Anolis sagrei: one gene and its partner. The protein of the gene in region 2 interacts with the protein of the main gene of each other region in a biochemical or structural test. Links are inferred from orthologs where the notes say so. Each region holds a gene or a part of one and is shown on either strand. Other genes may lie near its edges. The genes, in order: BAG2 and PINK1.

Region 1 (8,019 bases), on a different chromosome or scaffold from region 2:
AGATACATGGGCCTCCATGTTCAGTGCTGAGTCTAGGAAGATCCCCAAACAGTGGGCCTGTGTCTTCAGGGGAAGTGTGACCCCATCCACTACAGGCTGGATACCTATTCCTTGGCCTGCCTTCTGAATGACCAGGAGTACTCCTGTCTTGTCTGGATTAAATTTCAAATTGTTTACCCTCATCCAGTCCATTACTGATGGCAGACATTGGTTTGGGGTTAGGAGAGCTTCCTTGGCAATAGATGGAAAGGCGTAGTAGAGTTGGGTATCATCTGCATATGCAATATGGCACCGTACTCCAAAACTCCGGATGACCTCTCTCAGTGATTTCATGTATATGTTAAACAGCACAGGGGGATAAAATAGGCATAGAATAGAAATAGACAAATCCAGGTTTCCTGAGATTTTTAGGTTATATGTTGAATGAGAAAATCAAACCACCGCCTGCAATAGTCTAGGGCAGGGGTCCTCAAACGTTTTAAACAGGGCCAGGTCAGAGTCCCTCAAACTGTTGGAGGGCCGGATTATAATTTGAAAAAAAATATGAATGAATTCCCATGCACACTGCACATATTTTATTTGTAGTGCAAAAAACACTTAAAACAATACAATAATTAAAATGAAGAACGATTTTAACAAACATAAACTTATTAGTATTTCAGTGGGAAGTGTGGACCTGCTTTTGGCTGATGAGATAGGATTGTTGTTGTTGTTGTTGTTGTGTGCTTTCAAGTCATTTCAGACTTAGGTTGACCCTGAGTGAGGGCCGGGTAAATGACCTTGGAGGGCCATATCCGGCCCCCAGGCCTTAGTTTGAGGACCCCTGGTCTAGGGGGAAATGTAAGCTATCCTTAGGAAAGACCTTAAATACTTCGAGCAGTTCCCTACATGTCTCATTCCCTTGCTATAAGGAGACCAACAAATATTGTCCATCTTTGGGGTGACTATCACATTTCAGAAGGGTGTTGGTGAGTAGCATTCCCATCTTTTTCATACAGTCTCAATCACCTAATCAATACCCTTCAAGATCTAAGTGCTGTATTCTATTACTAATCCAACTGGAATAAAATTCTAATTCAAACTAGACACGTGTATTAACATTCTCTGCTAAAGTGCTCCTTTTTTCACTTCATTAACTTTTAATTCCCAAAGTCTACCCACAGCATGCAATCTGAATGTTGCTATTACCACCCTCTTCCCACCAGGGACCATCCTTCGTCCATTGACACATTCTGCTGTAACAATATCCACATGTTTTTGCTTTTAGCCATGCGGATATAGCTGTGCGAATCTTCCCCGAGGGAGTGAGTGCCGGTCAACCTGCCCACAAATAAGCCCTGTAAGATGATCCTGTCCAGAAAGTATTCTGTTAACACCTACGCTCTGAATAGCAAGCCATGTGAAAATAGCACCTTTGTTTTTTCTGAAGGGGAGAAAAACTCCCCATAGAAAAGGTACAGCACGGCTCTATATCAACTCCATGCGGCATGGTCAATGTCTTTACAACATGCACTTTTATAGTGTCTGGCGGACCATGAGTTTCTGTACTCGTGCTTTCAGGGCTATGGAGAAAAGGGGTTGAGCTAGAAAGCATCAAACCTTTTAAAGCTATGTAACGAAACCCATGAGTGAGTGAATACCATCTTGACGCACAGTCTTCTAGTCCTTCCAATTATGGTTAACATTATTGAACTCTGAAGCCACAACATACTTCCTTTCATAAAAGGAAAGTCTTCTGTCATCTTCAAGTACCTATTTATAAAAAGACTTCCAGTTGCTGTTAAGGCCCCTAACAAAATGACTTTACAGTACTGTTTGATGTGCCACAACTTTCAGGAACTTAAACTAGCAATTATAGCCTAAGTTACGATTGCAGTCTGATTTTTGGAAATCTCCCAGCCACCAATTGAACCAATTTCTCCCTCCATCAAAATCTGACTCATGAAAAAAGATAAATGTTTCCCCTTGACATTAAGTCTAGTTGTGTCCAACTCTGGGGGTGGCACGCATCTCCATTTCTAAGCCGAAGAGCAGGCGTTGTCTGTAAACACCTCCAAGGTTATGTGGCCAGCATGATTACATGGAGCGGCAGAAGCTGGGGCTAACAGCGGGAGCTCATGCTGCTCCTTGGATCTGAACCGCTGACCTTTTGGTCAGCAAGTTCAGTAGCTCAGCGGTTTAACCTGCTGCACCACTGGGGGTTCCATCGGGGCTCAAGAAAGAGCCAGGCTGGGTTGTCGGTTTTTTGGGCTATATGACCATGTTCTAGATGCATTCTCTCCTGACGTTTTGCCTGCATCTATAGCAGGCATCCTCAGAGGTTGTGAGGTCTCACAAATGTTGAGGTCTATTTTCCCCAAGCCCCACCATTAACATTTCGGCCTATTGAGTATCCGTGCCAAGTTTGGTCCAGATTAATCACTGTTTGAGTCCACAGTGCTCTCTGGATGTAGGTGAACTACAACTCACAAACTCAAAGTCAATGTCCACCAAACCCTCCCAGTATTTTCTGTTGTCTATGGGAGTTCTGTGTGCCAAGTTAGCTTCAATTCCATCGTTGGTGGAGTTCAGAATGCTCTTTGATTGTAGGTGAACTATAAATCCCAGCAACTACAACTCCCAAATGACAAAAATCAATCTTCCCCCCAACCCCACCAGTATTCAAATTGTTTGTGCCAAATTTGGTCCAGTGAATGAAAATACATCCTGTATATCAGATTTTACATTACAATTCATAATACTAGCAAAATTACAGTTATGAAGTCGCAGCGAAAATAATGTTATGGTTGGGGGTCACCACAACATGAGGAACTGTACTAAGGGGTCTACCATTAGGAAGGTTGAGAAACACTGGTCTACACTCTCACACTCTCTTGCTGTCCTTAATGTAGTGTTGCTGTATTTTTGAAAATTAACTTCAGTTGTGTTTTTTTAAAATAACATTTTCTAGGAAAAAATCTAAATTGGTAAGAAATACTTTTGTAAAAAACCCTGTCCTCTTCTTTGAAAAGAAGGTTGAGAAACCAAATCACTGCAGTGCAGTTAAAGAAAGGAAAGTTTGTGCCAGCCCTTGGCATGCGCTCAAGAGACTGCAGGGCTGCTGGGTCCTAATAGAAACTTAAGAGGAAGAAAGGACTTGTTAGAGCAGGCAAAACCTTTCACTTTTGGGAGAGCATCAGGACAGCTTTTATGAGTGGAGGAAAAAAGTTGATATTCCAACTCTAGGATTCTAAGCTGTGTGAGTGCATCTGTTTATGTAGGTGTGTTTTGAATGAGGTCTATCATATCTATGACTGTATAGCCATCTATCTGGAAGGCTTTTGTAGTGTCTTCTTGCAGGCAGAAGAGGGTTAGACTGGATGGCCCCTTGGGTCCCTTCCAGCTCTAGGATTCTAAACTGTGTACGTGTGTGTGTTTATTGAATGATGTCTATCATATCTATGATTGTCTGGCTATCCACCTGGAAGGCTTTGGACACCCACTTTTGCATGGCAGAAGTGGGTTGGACTGGATGGTCCTTGTTGTCTCTTACAGATCTATGATCTCTACTGTTTGTATGTATGTATGTATGTGTGTGTGTGTGTATATATATAGAGAGAGAGAGAGAGAGAGAGAGAGAGAGAGAGAGCACCTGTTATAACTATGACTGGCTGGCCATCTGTCTGAAAGGTCTTGATGGTGTCTTCTTGCATGGCAGAAGTGGGTTGGACTGAGTGGTCCTTATGATCTCTTCCAGATCTGTGACATCTATTGTGTGTATATGTGTAAAAAAATATTTTAAATGTCTGTCATATCTAGGCTAGCTGGCCATCTGCCTGGAAGTCTTTGGTGGTGTCTTCTTGCAGGGCAGAAGAGGGTTGGACTGGATGGCCCCTTGGGGTTCCTTCCAACTCTAGGATTCTAAATTGTGTGTGTGTGCATGTATTGAATGACGTCTATCATATCTATGATGGCCTGGCCATCTGACTGGAAGGCTTTGAGGGTGTCTTCTTGTGTGGCAGAAGAGGGTTGGACTGGAGGGGCCTTGTGCTCTCTTACAGATTTATGATATCTATTGTGTGTGTGTGTATACGTGTGTGTATAGCCTGTCACAATTATGGCTGGCTGGTCATCTGTTTGGAAGGCTCTGATGGTGTCTTCTTGTGTGGCAGAAGAGGGTTGGACTGGATGGTCTTTGCGGTCTCTTACAGATCTATATCTATTGCTTGTGTGTGTGTATATATATGTGTGTGTGTGTGTGTGTAGCCTGTCACAACTATGGCTGGCTGGTCATCTGTCTGGAAGGCTCTGATGGTGTCTTCTTGCATGGCAGAAGAGGGTTGGATTGGATGGTCCTTGTGGTCTCTTCCAAATCTATTATATCTATTGTGTGTACGTGTGTGTGTATACACACACACACACACACACACACTATATATATATATATATATATATATATATATATATATATATATATACGCACGCACACATTCTCTCCTCCCCTCTCTCTTTCTATATACTGTATATAATATCTGTCATAACAATGGCTGTCTGGCCATCTGCCTGGAAGGCTTTGATGGTGTCTTCTTGCATGGCAGAAGTGGGTTGGGCTGGATGGTCCTTGTAGTCTCTTCCAAATCTATGATATCGATTGTGTGTGTGGGTGTGTATATATATATATATATATAAAATGTCTGTCCTAACTATGGCTGTGGCCATCTGCCTGGAAGGCTTTGGTGGTGTCCAACATTGTGGGAGTTGAAGTCCAAAACAGCTGGACTGGAGAGCAGCCTGGACTGGAGACTGGAGAAGGGCGGGCAGGCGTGCCCTGGGCGGCCCTGCTGCCTGTCCTCCTTGTTCGGGAGGGAGGAGCCTCGGGCGGCGCAGGCAGAGGGAGAAGCTGAGGCGGAGCGGCGATGGCCCAGGCCAAGAGCAGCGCCTCCAAAAGCCTCCTCGCTTCGGAGCCCGGGGAAGGGGGAGTGCCGCCGCCTCGCCGGGGCCGCTTCTTCCGCTCCACTTCCATGGCCGACCGCTCCAGCCGCCTCCTGGAGAGCCTCGACCAGCTCGAGCTCAGGTCAGGCACCAGCCCAAGGGGAAGGAGGGAGCGCGCGGGTGAGCGGGCGGGCGGGCAAGCAAGAGGCGCGTGCACCGTGGACTAGGCGAAGGGAAGCCGCGCTGCAGGCCATCCCCAGAGTTCTCCTCTCCTGCCTCTCCAAAACACACAACTTCAATGACACCGCTTTGTACTGGGGTCTTGGAAGTTGTAGTTTGGAGACGCACTTGCACCCTTTGGCAGAGGAGGCTGAAGGCTTGTTTTTTTAAGACTACAATTCCTATGATTCCATAGCATTGAAACAGGGCAGGTCAAAGTGGTGCCAAGGTGCATTCAGGCTACAGGGTAGATCAGGCACGAGCAAACTTGGGCCCTCCCTCCAGGGGTTTTGGACTTCAACTCCCACCATTCCTAACAGCCTCAGGCCCTTTCCTTTATCTACTTTATCTCCTGTGCCTTTTTTGTTGCAGGTTGTGGGCCTATTTGGCCCAGCATAAACACAGAACCAGTCTGCCCCACAGTCTGTCTTCATTATTATTATTATTATTATTATTATTATTATTATTATTATTTACGACATTTATATGCCGCCCTTCTCACCCCAAAGGGGACTCAGAGCAGCTTACTATACACACACACACACACACACACACACACACACAATATATATATATATGTATGTATGTATTGTATTGTATTGTATTGTATTGTATTGTATTGTATTGTATTGTATTGTATTGTTGAAGGCCTTTATGGCCGAAATCACTGGGTGACCCTTCTGATAACCCCTCATGACCCCCCCCCCCCCCAGGGTCCCGACCCACAGGTTGAGAAATGCTGCCATCCAGTCCAACTCCCTTCACCAGTGCAAGAAAACACAATCTAAGCCTTCCTGACAAAAAGCCATCCAGTCATATAGATATATAGATATGATTCACACACACACACATATGTATATGACAGATATAGTATCCTAGATTTGAAAGGGACCTCTAAAGAAGGACAATGATATGTTGCCTGTTTCAGAGTAGGCAAACCTGACAATCTCTACATCAAGACTGACAAAGAAACAGCAAGAAATACTGTTTACCCACAAGCAGAAAGAAATTACCTATATTAGAAACCAACACTTTCTCATTACTTTATTTTCCAGATCACCAGATTGGGCCACAGCAACGCATGGCAGGGGACAGCTACTCTATATAAATAAAAATGTAATGTTTGTTTGTGAGATTAACATAACTCAAAGTCCACTGGATGAATTGCTGTCAAATTTGGCCACAAGACACCTTCTAACCCAAGAAGTGACCATCACTAAAAAAATGATTTTGTCATTTAGGAGTTGTATTTGATGGGATTTATAGTTAACCTACAATCAAAGGGCATTCTGAACCCCACCAATGATGGAATTCAAACAAATGTGGCACACAGGACTCCCATGACCAACATGGGCATTTATGGGCATTGATCTTAAGTTTGGGAGTTGTAGTTCACCTTCATCCAGAGAGCACTGTGGATTCACACAATGATCCAGACCAAATTTAGCACAAATATTTCATATGCCCAAATATGAACACATGGAGTTTGGGGGAAATAGACCTTTACATTTGGGAATTGTAGTTGCTGGGATTTATAGTTCACCTACAATCAAATAGCAATCTGAACCCCACCAAATGACAGAATTGGGCCAAACTTCCCACACAGAACCCCCATGACCAACAGAAAATACTCAAATACTCAAGGCCATCCAGTCCAACTCCCTTCACGAGGGCAAGAAAACGTAATCAAAGCCCTCCTGACAAAGAGCCATCCAGCCATAGATGTAGATAGATATATATGATTCACACACACACACACACACTACTATAGTATCATAGATTGGAAAGGGACCCTAAACAAGGACAATTCTATGTTGCATGTTCCAGAGGAGGCAAACCAGGCAATCTCCAACACTGACAAAGAAACAACAAGAAATACTGTTTACCTACAAGCATAAAGAAATGACAGATTAGAAACCAACGCTTTCTCGTTACTTTATTTTCCGGATCACCAGACCGGGCCAGAGCAATGTCTGGCAGGGAACGGCTAGTAACCATATTAAAAAAAATGTAATGTTTCTGAGATTAACATAGCTCAAAAACCACTGGATGAGTTGACATCAAATTTGGACACAATACACCTATCAGGCCATTGAGTGACCACCACTCCTAAAAACACTGAAAAACACAGCGGAAGGGACTTAAAATCCAAAAAACCAAAAAGACTCTACAACGCATGCACAAAAATTACTCTCCTGGTAAACAAAACACACAAAAGCATATCCACACTCTCTTTCGGACTACAGCTCCCAGCATCCCCTAGACCAGGCCCTTTAGGAGAGGAGGATGATCCAAATGCACTGCTTCCAGGATGCAAGCTTTCTTCTCCTTGGATTTCTTTGAGAGCATCCCAATCCCTGCATATTTCCAATTTCCTATTCCTGGACTGCAACTCCCAGCAACCCTCCCAGCTAGTTTTTTATATAGTAAACGAGGAACATGAACACAATAAAAGCACCCTCAGTACTAATTTTGCTCTAATTGGGAAGCTATGCTCGCTTTGCCATTAGTAATAGATATGCTATAAGGAGAGAGTTTCGTATTCGAAGTAGCCAAACCTGTCCCATAAATTACTACCTCTGTATTTTCCCAGACATGAAAGGAATGGAAAAGGTGTAGCAATTGAAATGCTGTGGTTGGCCTGTTCCATTTGGGACTTGAAGGGCTACAGCCCGGGTACTGATTTACCATCTGGACTGAGCACCAAATCATCTGGAGCAGGCATCCTCAAACTGCAGCCCTCCAACTGTTTTGGCCTTCAACTACCACCAAAATTCCTGACAATTAAACAAGCTCATTAGGGCTTCTGGGAGTTGGAGGCCCAAACAGCTGGAAGGCCGCAGTTTGAGGATGCCTGATCTGGAGTTTTGGAGTTTGATGTTATCTGTA
Region 2 (8,204 bases):
ATTATTTCATATATTTATATTATTTTCATATTATTCTATATTTTTATTTTATTTTCATTTTATATCTATTTCCTTATTTCTTCCTTCTGTTTATACAAATATTTCGTGTTATTTTATATTATTATATTTTATATTATTATTTCATATTATTTTCATGTTATTCTATATTTTATATTTATTTTATATCTATTTCCTTATTTCATCCTTTTATATTATTATATTTTATATTATTATATTTTATATTATTATATTTTATATTATTATTTCATATATTTATATTATTTTCATATTATTCTATATTTTTATTTTGTTTTCATTTTATATTTCCTTATTTCTCCCTTCTGTTTATACAAAGATTTCATATTATTTTATATTATTATAAAATATAATAATTATTTTCATATATTTATATTATTTTCATATTATTCTATATCTTATATTTATTTTATATCTATTTCCTTATTTCTTCCTTCTTTTATATGATTATATCTTTTATTATTATTTCATATTATTTTCATATTATTCTATATATTTTTTATTTTAATTTTATATCTATTTCCTTATTTCTTCCTTTTATATGATTATATTTTATGATTATATTTTATATTAATATTTCATATATTTATATTATTTTCATATTATTCTATATCTTTATTTTATATCTATTTATTTCTTCCTTGTTTATACAAAGATTTCATGTTATTTTATATTATTATATTTTATATTATTTTCATATATTTATATTATTTTCATATTATTCTATATTTTTATTTATTTTATATCCATTTCCTTATTTCTTCCTCCTTTTATATGATTCTATTTTATATTATTATTTCATATTATTTCATATATTTATATTATTTTCATATTATTCTATATCTTTTAATTATTTTATATGATTATATTTTATATTATTATTTCATATTTTTATTTTATTTTCATATTATTCTATATTTTTATTTATTTTATATCCATTTCCTTATTTCTTCCTCCTTTTATATGATTCTATTTTATATTATTATTTCATATTATTTCATATATTTATATTATTTTCATATTATTCTATATCTTTTAATTATTTTATATGATTATATTTTATATTATTATTTCATATTTTTATTTTATTTTCATATTATTCGATATTTTTATTTATTTTATATCTATTTCCTTATTTCTTCCTTCTTTTATATGATTATATTTTATATTTTATTTTATATTATTTTACATTATTTCATATTATTTCATATTTTATATTATTTTATATTATTTATTTTATACTTAATTTTATATTATTTTATATTATTATTTCATATTTTATATTATTTTATATTATTTATTTAATATTTTATTTTATATTATTTTACATTATTTCATATTATTTTATATTTTATATTATTTTCATATTATTTATTTTATATTTAATTTTATATTATTTTACATTATTATTTCATATTATTTCATATTTTATATTATTTTCATGTTATTTATTTTATATTTAATTTTATATTTTATATTACTTTCATATTATTTCTTTTATATTATTATTTCATATTATTTCATATTTTTATATTATTTTATATTATTTATTTTATATTTAATTTTATATTATTTTATATTATTATTTCATATTATTTTATATTTTTATATTATTTTCATATTATTCTATATTTTTATTTCATATTTTTATACCATTTTCATATTATTTATTTTATATTTAACTTTATATTATTTTACATTATTTCATATTTCATATTTTTATATTATTTTATATTATTTATTTTATATTTAAATTTATATTATTTCATATTACTATTTCATATTATTTTATATTATTTTCATGTTATTTATTTTATATTTAAATTTATATTATTTTATATTATTGTTTCATATTATTTCATATTATTTATTTTATAATGTTATATTATTTTATATTATTATTTCATATTATTTTCAGATTATTTATTTTATATTTAATTTTATATTGTTTTATATTATTATAAAATATTATTCTATATTTTTATTTTATATTTTATATCTATTTCATTATATTGTATTTTATATTATTGTAAAATAATATTCTTTTTTAATATTTTATATTATTAGTTCATATATTTATATTGTTTTCATATTATTTTATATTTTTATATTTAATTTACTTTAATTTTATATTATTATTTCATATTATTTCATATTTTATATCATTTTCATATTATTCTATATTTTTATTTTATATTTTTATATTTAAATTAATATTATTTTATATTATTATTTCCTATTATTTATTTTATATTTAAGTTTATATTTAAGTTTATATTATTTTCTATTATTATTTCCTATTATTTCATATTTTTCTATTATTTTCATGTTATTTATATTATTTATTTTCTATTTAATTCTCTATTATTTTCATATTATATTCTAATTGTGATATTTTTTTGGCCGCCATGATGGCTCATCCTTCTGCGCCTGCGCAAAAGCCTTCCCGTCTCCACCTGCGACTACTCTCCCGTTTCCTTGGCAACAAGTCCTAGAGAGTACCGTTTCCACGGCAACGAGGCCTAGTCCGCCAGCGGACGCCTGACTCGATTTGTATCCGCCCACCTGGATGTCCTGGCAAGCCTCGTCCGCCCTCCTCTGCTCGGCCAGCGCGGGCTCAAACAACGCGAGCCCGAGGCTGAAGGCTAAGCCGAGGCGGCGAGGCCCAAGCGGGACCCTTGGGTGGAAGAAGCGCGGGCTCCGGGTGAGGCCTAGCCAAGCCGCGGCCTCGCGTAGGAAGCCCCCCGGGCGGAGGGGAACGGCTGCGGGGGGATGAACCGGAAGTGGAGGCCGCGGCGCTCCTCCGACCCAGCGCCATAGCAAGGCCCGGCCCAAGCGGGCCCCGCGGCCTAGCGCCTGCCGGAGCGCCATCGCAGCCCCGAGCTGGAGTTGTTGTTGTGGCCGGGATTGTGACGCCCACGAGGCGGGGCCTCTTTCCTCCTGCTAGGCCATCCTTGCGCATGCGCAGAAGGCTATTGCGTTTCCTTCAGGGATACACCATCAAAACCGTCCAGACAGATGGTCATCCAAGTTCTGCTAATAATAATAATAATAATACTAATAATAATAATAATAATAATAATAATAGAATCCTAGAGTCGGAAGGGACCCCCAAAGGTCATCCAGTCCAACCCCCTTCTGACATAATGGGAAACACCATCAAAACCGTCCAGACAGATGCTCATCCAAGCTCTGATAATAATAATAATAATAATAATAATAATAATAATAATAATAATAGAATCCTAGAGTCGGAAGGGACCCCCAAAGGTCATCCAGCCCAACCCCCTTCTGACATAATGGGAAACACCATGAAAACCGTCCAAACAGATGGTCATCCAAGCTCTGCTAATAATAATAATAATAATAATAATAATAATAATAATAATAATAGAATCCTAGAGTCGGGAGGGACCCCCAAAGGTCATCCAGTCCAACCCCCTTCTGACATAATGGGAAACACCATCAAAACCGTCCAGACAGATGGTCATCCAAACTCTGCTAATAATAATAATAATAATAATAATAATAATAATAATAATAATAGAATCCTAGAGTCGGGAGGGACCCCCAAAGGTCATCCAGTCCAACCCCCTTCTGACATAATGGGAAACACCATCAAAACCATCCAGACAGATGCTCATCCAAGCTCTGATAATAATAATAATAATAATAATAATAATAATAATAGACACCTAGAGTCATCCAAGTTCCAATAATAATAATAATAATAATAATAATAATAATAGCATCCTAGAGTCGGAAGGGACTCCCAAAGGCCATGAAGCCGCTGGGGGAGTTTCGGATTGAGATGTTATCTCTATGCAGATGACGTCCAGATCTGTCACTCCTCACCTGTCACCAAGGAGGCCGTCCAGACCTTGAACCGGTGCTTGGCCGCTGTGTCGGATTGGATGAGAGCTAATAAATTGAAATTGAATCCAGACAAGACAGAGGTCCTACTGGTCAATCGCAAGGCCGAACAGGGCATAGGGTCACAGCCTGTGTTAGACGGGGTTACACTCCCCCTGAAGACTTGGGGGTCATCCTGGACTCATGGCTGAGCCTGGAACCCCAGGTCTCGGCGGTGGCTGGGAGAGCTTTTGCACAATTAAAACTTGTGCACCAGTTGTGCCCGTTCCTTGGGAAGTCTGATCTGGCCACAGTGGTCTACAGCCTTGTTACATCCCGTATAGACTACTGCAACGCACTCTACGTGGGGTTGCCCTTGAAGACTGTTCGGAAACTTCAACTGGTCCAGCGAGCGGCAGCCAGATTGCTCACCGGAGCGACATACAGGGTTGTGTCAGCTCCAGTGGCTGCCAGTTCAGTTCCGAGCACAATTCAAAGTGCTGGTTTTGACCTACAAAACCCTATATGGTTCCGGTCCAGCGTATCCGTCCGAACGGATCTCCCTCTACGTCCCACCCCGGAGTCTGAGATCATCTGGGGAGGCCCTGCTCTTGACCCCACCGCTATCACAAGTGAGGCTGGTGGGGACGAGGAGCAGGGCCTTCTCAGTGGTGGCCCCTCACTTGTGGAACTCACTCCCGGGAGAAATCAGGGCATCAACTTCCCTGAGTCCCCTCCGGGGTGAGAAGGGCGGGGTAAAAGAAACCGAAATAAATCTGCTTGTCCCATTTTGATGGATTCATTTCAATTGGTGAAACCTGAGGATGTGGACAAGGTGCTTGGAGGAATGACCACGTCCATCCTAGACCCCTGCCCATCCTGGCTTCTGAAGGAGGCCAGAGGGGGATTGGCTGGGTGGGTTAAGGTGGTGGTTAACGCCTCCCTTCGGGAAGGCAAAATTCCAGCGAGCCTAAAACAAGCTATAATCAAACCGCTGTTGAAGAAACCATCACTGGACCCCACTCAATTCGACAACTTTCAGCCTGTTTCCAATCTCCCCTTCTTGGGCAAAGTCCTGGAACGTGTGGTGGCCTCACAACTCCAGGCATTCTTGGACGACACGGATTATCTGGATTCGGCACAGTCTGGTTTCAGACCGGGACATGGAACCGAGACGGCCTTGGTCGCCTTGGTGGATGATCTCCGCCGGGAGCTGGACAGGGGGAGTGTGTCCCTGTTGGTTCTGCTGGACCTCTCTTCGGCCTTCGATACCGTCAACCACGGTATCCTTCTGGAATGGGCCTTGGAGGCACTGTTCTGCAGTGTCTCCGGTCCTTCCTAGAGGTGTTACTGGGAGACTCCTGTTCAACTCCACAACCTTTGTCTTGTGGGGTTCTTCAGGGTTCAGTCTTGTCTCCCATGTTGTTTGACATCTACATGAAGCCGCTGGGGGAGATCATCCGGAGTTTCAGGGTGCGATGTCATCTGTACGCGGATGATGTCCAACTCTGTCTCTCCTTCCCACCTACTTCTAAGGAGGCTGTCCAGACCTTGAACCGGTGCTTGGCCGCTGTGACGGTCTGGATGAGGGCGAACAAATTGAAATTGAATCCAAACAAGACAGAGGTACTCCTGATCAGTCGTAAGGCCGAACAGGGTATAGGGTCACAGCCTGTGCTGGATGGGGTCGCACTTCCCCTGAAGCTTGGGTGTGACCCTGGACTCATCGCTGAGCCTGGAACCCCAGGTTTCGGCAGTGACCAGGGGAGCATTCGCACAGTTAAAACTTGTGCGCCAGCTGTGCCCGTACCTTGGGAAGTCTGACTTGGCCACGGTAGTCCATGCACTGGTTACATCCTGTATAGACTACTGCAATGCTCTCTACATGGGGCTGCCTTTGAAGACTGCTCGGAAGCTTCAAATGGTCCAACGATCGGCAGCCAGGTTCCTAACAGGATCAGCACTCAGGGAGCACACCACTCTTCTGTTGCGCCAGCTCCTCTGGCTACCAGTCTGCTACTGGGCACAATTCAAAGTGCTGGCCTTAGCCTATAAAGCCCTAAACCAGTGGTTCTCAACCTTCTTCATGTCCCGACCCCTTAATACGGTTCTCATGTTGTGGTGACCCCTAACCAAAACATTATTTCTGTTGCCACTTCAGAACTGGAATTTTGCTCCTGTTATGAATCGTAATGCAAATATCTGATTTGCTAGATGTATTTTCATTCACTGGACCAAATTCACTGGACAATCCAGGAGCATTTTTAACCAAGGATGGAACTGAACTTGGCACACAGAACTTCCATGACCAACAGAAAATACTGGGAGGGTTTGGTGGACCTTGAGTTTGGGAGTTGTAGTTCACCTACATCGAGAGAGCACTGTGGACTAAAACAATGATGGACCTGACTTGGCACGAATGCTCAATATGCCCAAATGTGAACACTGGTGGAGTTTGAGGGAAATAGACCTTACCATCTGGGAGTTATGGTTGCTGGGATGTATAGTTCACCTAGTGTCAAAGAGCATCTTGAACCCAACCAACAATAGAATTGGGCCAAACTTCTCACACAGAACCCCCATTACCAACAAAAAAATACTGTGTTTTCTGATGGTCTTTGGCGACCCCTCTGACGGGACCCCTCTGACTTTGGCGACCCCTCTGACGGGGGGGTCGGGACCCCTCAGGGGTCCCGACCCCCAGGTTGAGAAACACTGCAAACAGTTCTGGCCCAACTTACCTGTTTGAACGCATCTCCTCCTATGAACCAGTTAGGACGTTAAGATCGTCTGGGGAGGCCCTGCTCTCGGTCCCGTCGGCATCACAAGTACACCTGGCGGAGACGAGAGACAGGGCCTTCTCAGTGGTGGCCCCTCGGCTGTGGAACGCCCTTCCTACAGATATCAGATCGGCCCCCTCCTTATTGGCAAAGTGAAGACCTGGTTGTTCGAACAGGCAGTGTAATTGATTACAGGAACACGGAATAACGGATGATGAGATTGGATTCTGATTCTATTGACGAGACACAAATGATTTGTCATATTGATGTTTAATCGTTGTTATGCTATTGTTTTTAAATGTTCTAATGGTTTGGTAATGTGTGCATTGAAATTGCTGCTGTTAACCACTTTGAGGGCTGAGAAAAGCGGTATATAAGTGAAGTAAATTGTAATAATAATAATAATATATCCCCAACCCATCCGCAGTCCCTTTGAGATTCAAATATATGCAAATATATTCAATTTCCCCCCAGTTTTTGGAGGTTTTCCGGTCCAAAAGAAAGGGGCAAGAGTTCTTCCAAGGTCTTGTGGATGTAGGTCTCGTCGTCCCCTGCCTTGGTCAGGTAGATGTCCCAGTCTTTGCCAAACTAAGGAGAAAGGGAAAGGTAGAATGAATGGCATGTGCTTTGGAAAACTGCAACTCTCCCATCATCATCATCATCATTATCATCATTATCATCATTTTGTGTTGCTCATGGATTCAAGTGCCTAGTTTCCAAAGATGGAGACTTTACACGAAACTTGGCGTTATCCTGACGTTGCCTCAACTGAAGCAACATCATCATTTCTTCCTGGAATTACTTTGCATCCCAATCAAGAGATAAAAGCAGGACATGATCATTATCATCATCTTGTGTCGCTCATGGATTCAAGTGCCTAGTTTCCAAAGATGGAGACTTTACATGAAACTTGGTGTTATCCTGACGTTGCCTCAACTGAAGCAACGTCATCATCTCTTCCTGGAATTACTTTGCATCTCAATCAAGAGATAAAAGCAGGACATGATCATTATCATCATCATCTTGTGTCGCTTATGGATTCAAGTGCCTAGTTTCCAAAGATGGAGACTTTACATGAAACTTGGTGTTATCCTGACGTTGCCTCAACTGAAGCAACATCATCATCTCTTCCTGGAATTACTTTGCATCCCAATCAAGAGATAAAAGCAGGACATGATCATTATCATCATCATCTTGTGTCGCTCATGGATTCAAGTGCCTAGTTTCCAAAGATGGAGACTTTACATGAAACTTGGCGTTATCCTGACGTTGCCTCAACTGAAGCAATTGTCTCCCATCATCATCTCTTCCTGGAATTACTTTGCATCTCCATCAAGAGATAAAAGCAGGACATGATCATTATCACCATCATCTTGTGTTGCTCATGGATTCAAGTGCCTAGTTTCCAAAGATGAAGACTTTACATGAAACTTGGTGTTATCCTGACGTTGGCTCAACTGAAGCAACATCATCATCTCTTCCTGGAATTACTTTGCATCCCAATCAAGAGATAAAAGCAGGACATGGTGATGATGA

What was found.
Region 1: the proteins of PINK1 (region 2) and BAG2 form a complex in vitro, tested with the Homo sapiens proteins (2 studies listed by BioGRID). The link is inferred for Anolis sagrei from reciprocal best matches to the Homo sapiens genes PINK1 and BAG2.

What each region holds. Positions count from the first base shown.
Region 1 is NC_090021.1:118,661,574-118,669,592, reverse strand, and holds the start of BAG2 (BAG family molecular chaperone regulator 2), read left to right. Parts: upstream 1-4,846; 5' UTR 4,847-4,895; coding exon 4,896-5,053; intron 5,054-8,019. UniProt on the Homo sapiens protein: Co-chaperone for HSP70 and HSC70 chaperone proteins. Acts as a nucleotide-exchange factor (NEF) promoting the release of ADP from the HSP70 and HSC70 proteins thereby triggering client/substrate protein release.
Region 2 is NC_090033.1:19,646,609-19,654,812, forward strand, and holds the start of PINK1 (serine/threonine-protein kinase PINK1, mitochondrial), read right to left. Parts: upstream 3,001-8,204; 5' UTR 2,908-3,000; coding exon 2,602-2,907; intron 1-2,601. Other genes in the region: CDA (cytidine deaminase), read right to left, coding at 7,128-7,256. UniProt on the Homo sapiens protein: Serine/threonine-protein kinase which acts as a sensor of mitochondrial damage and protects against mitochondrial dysfunction during cellular stress.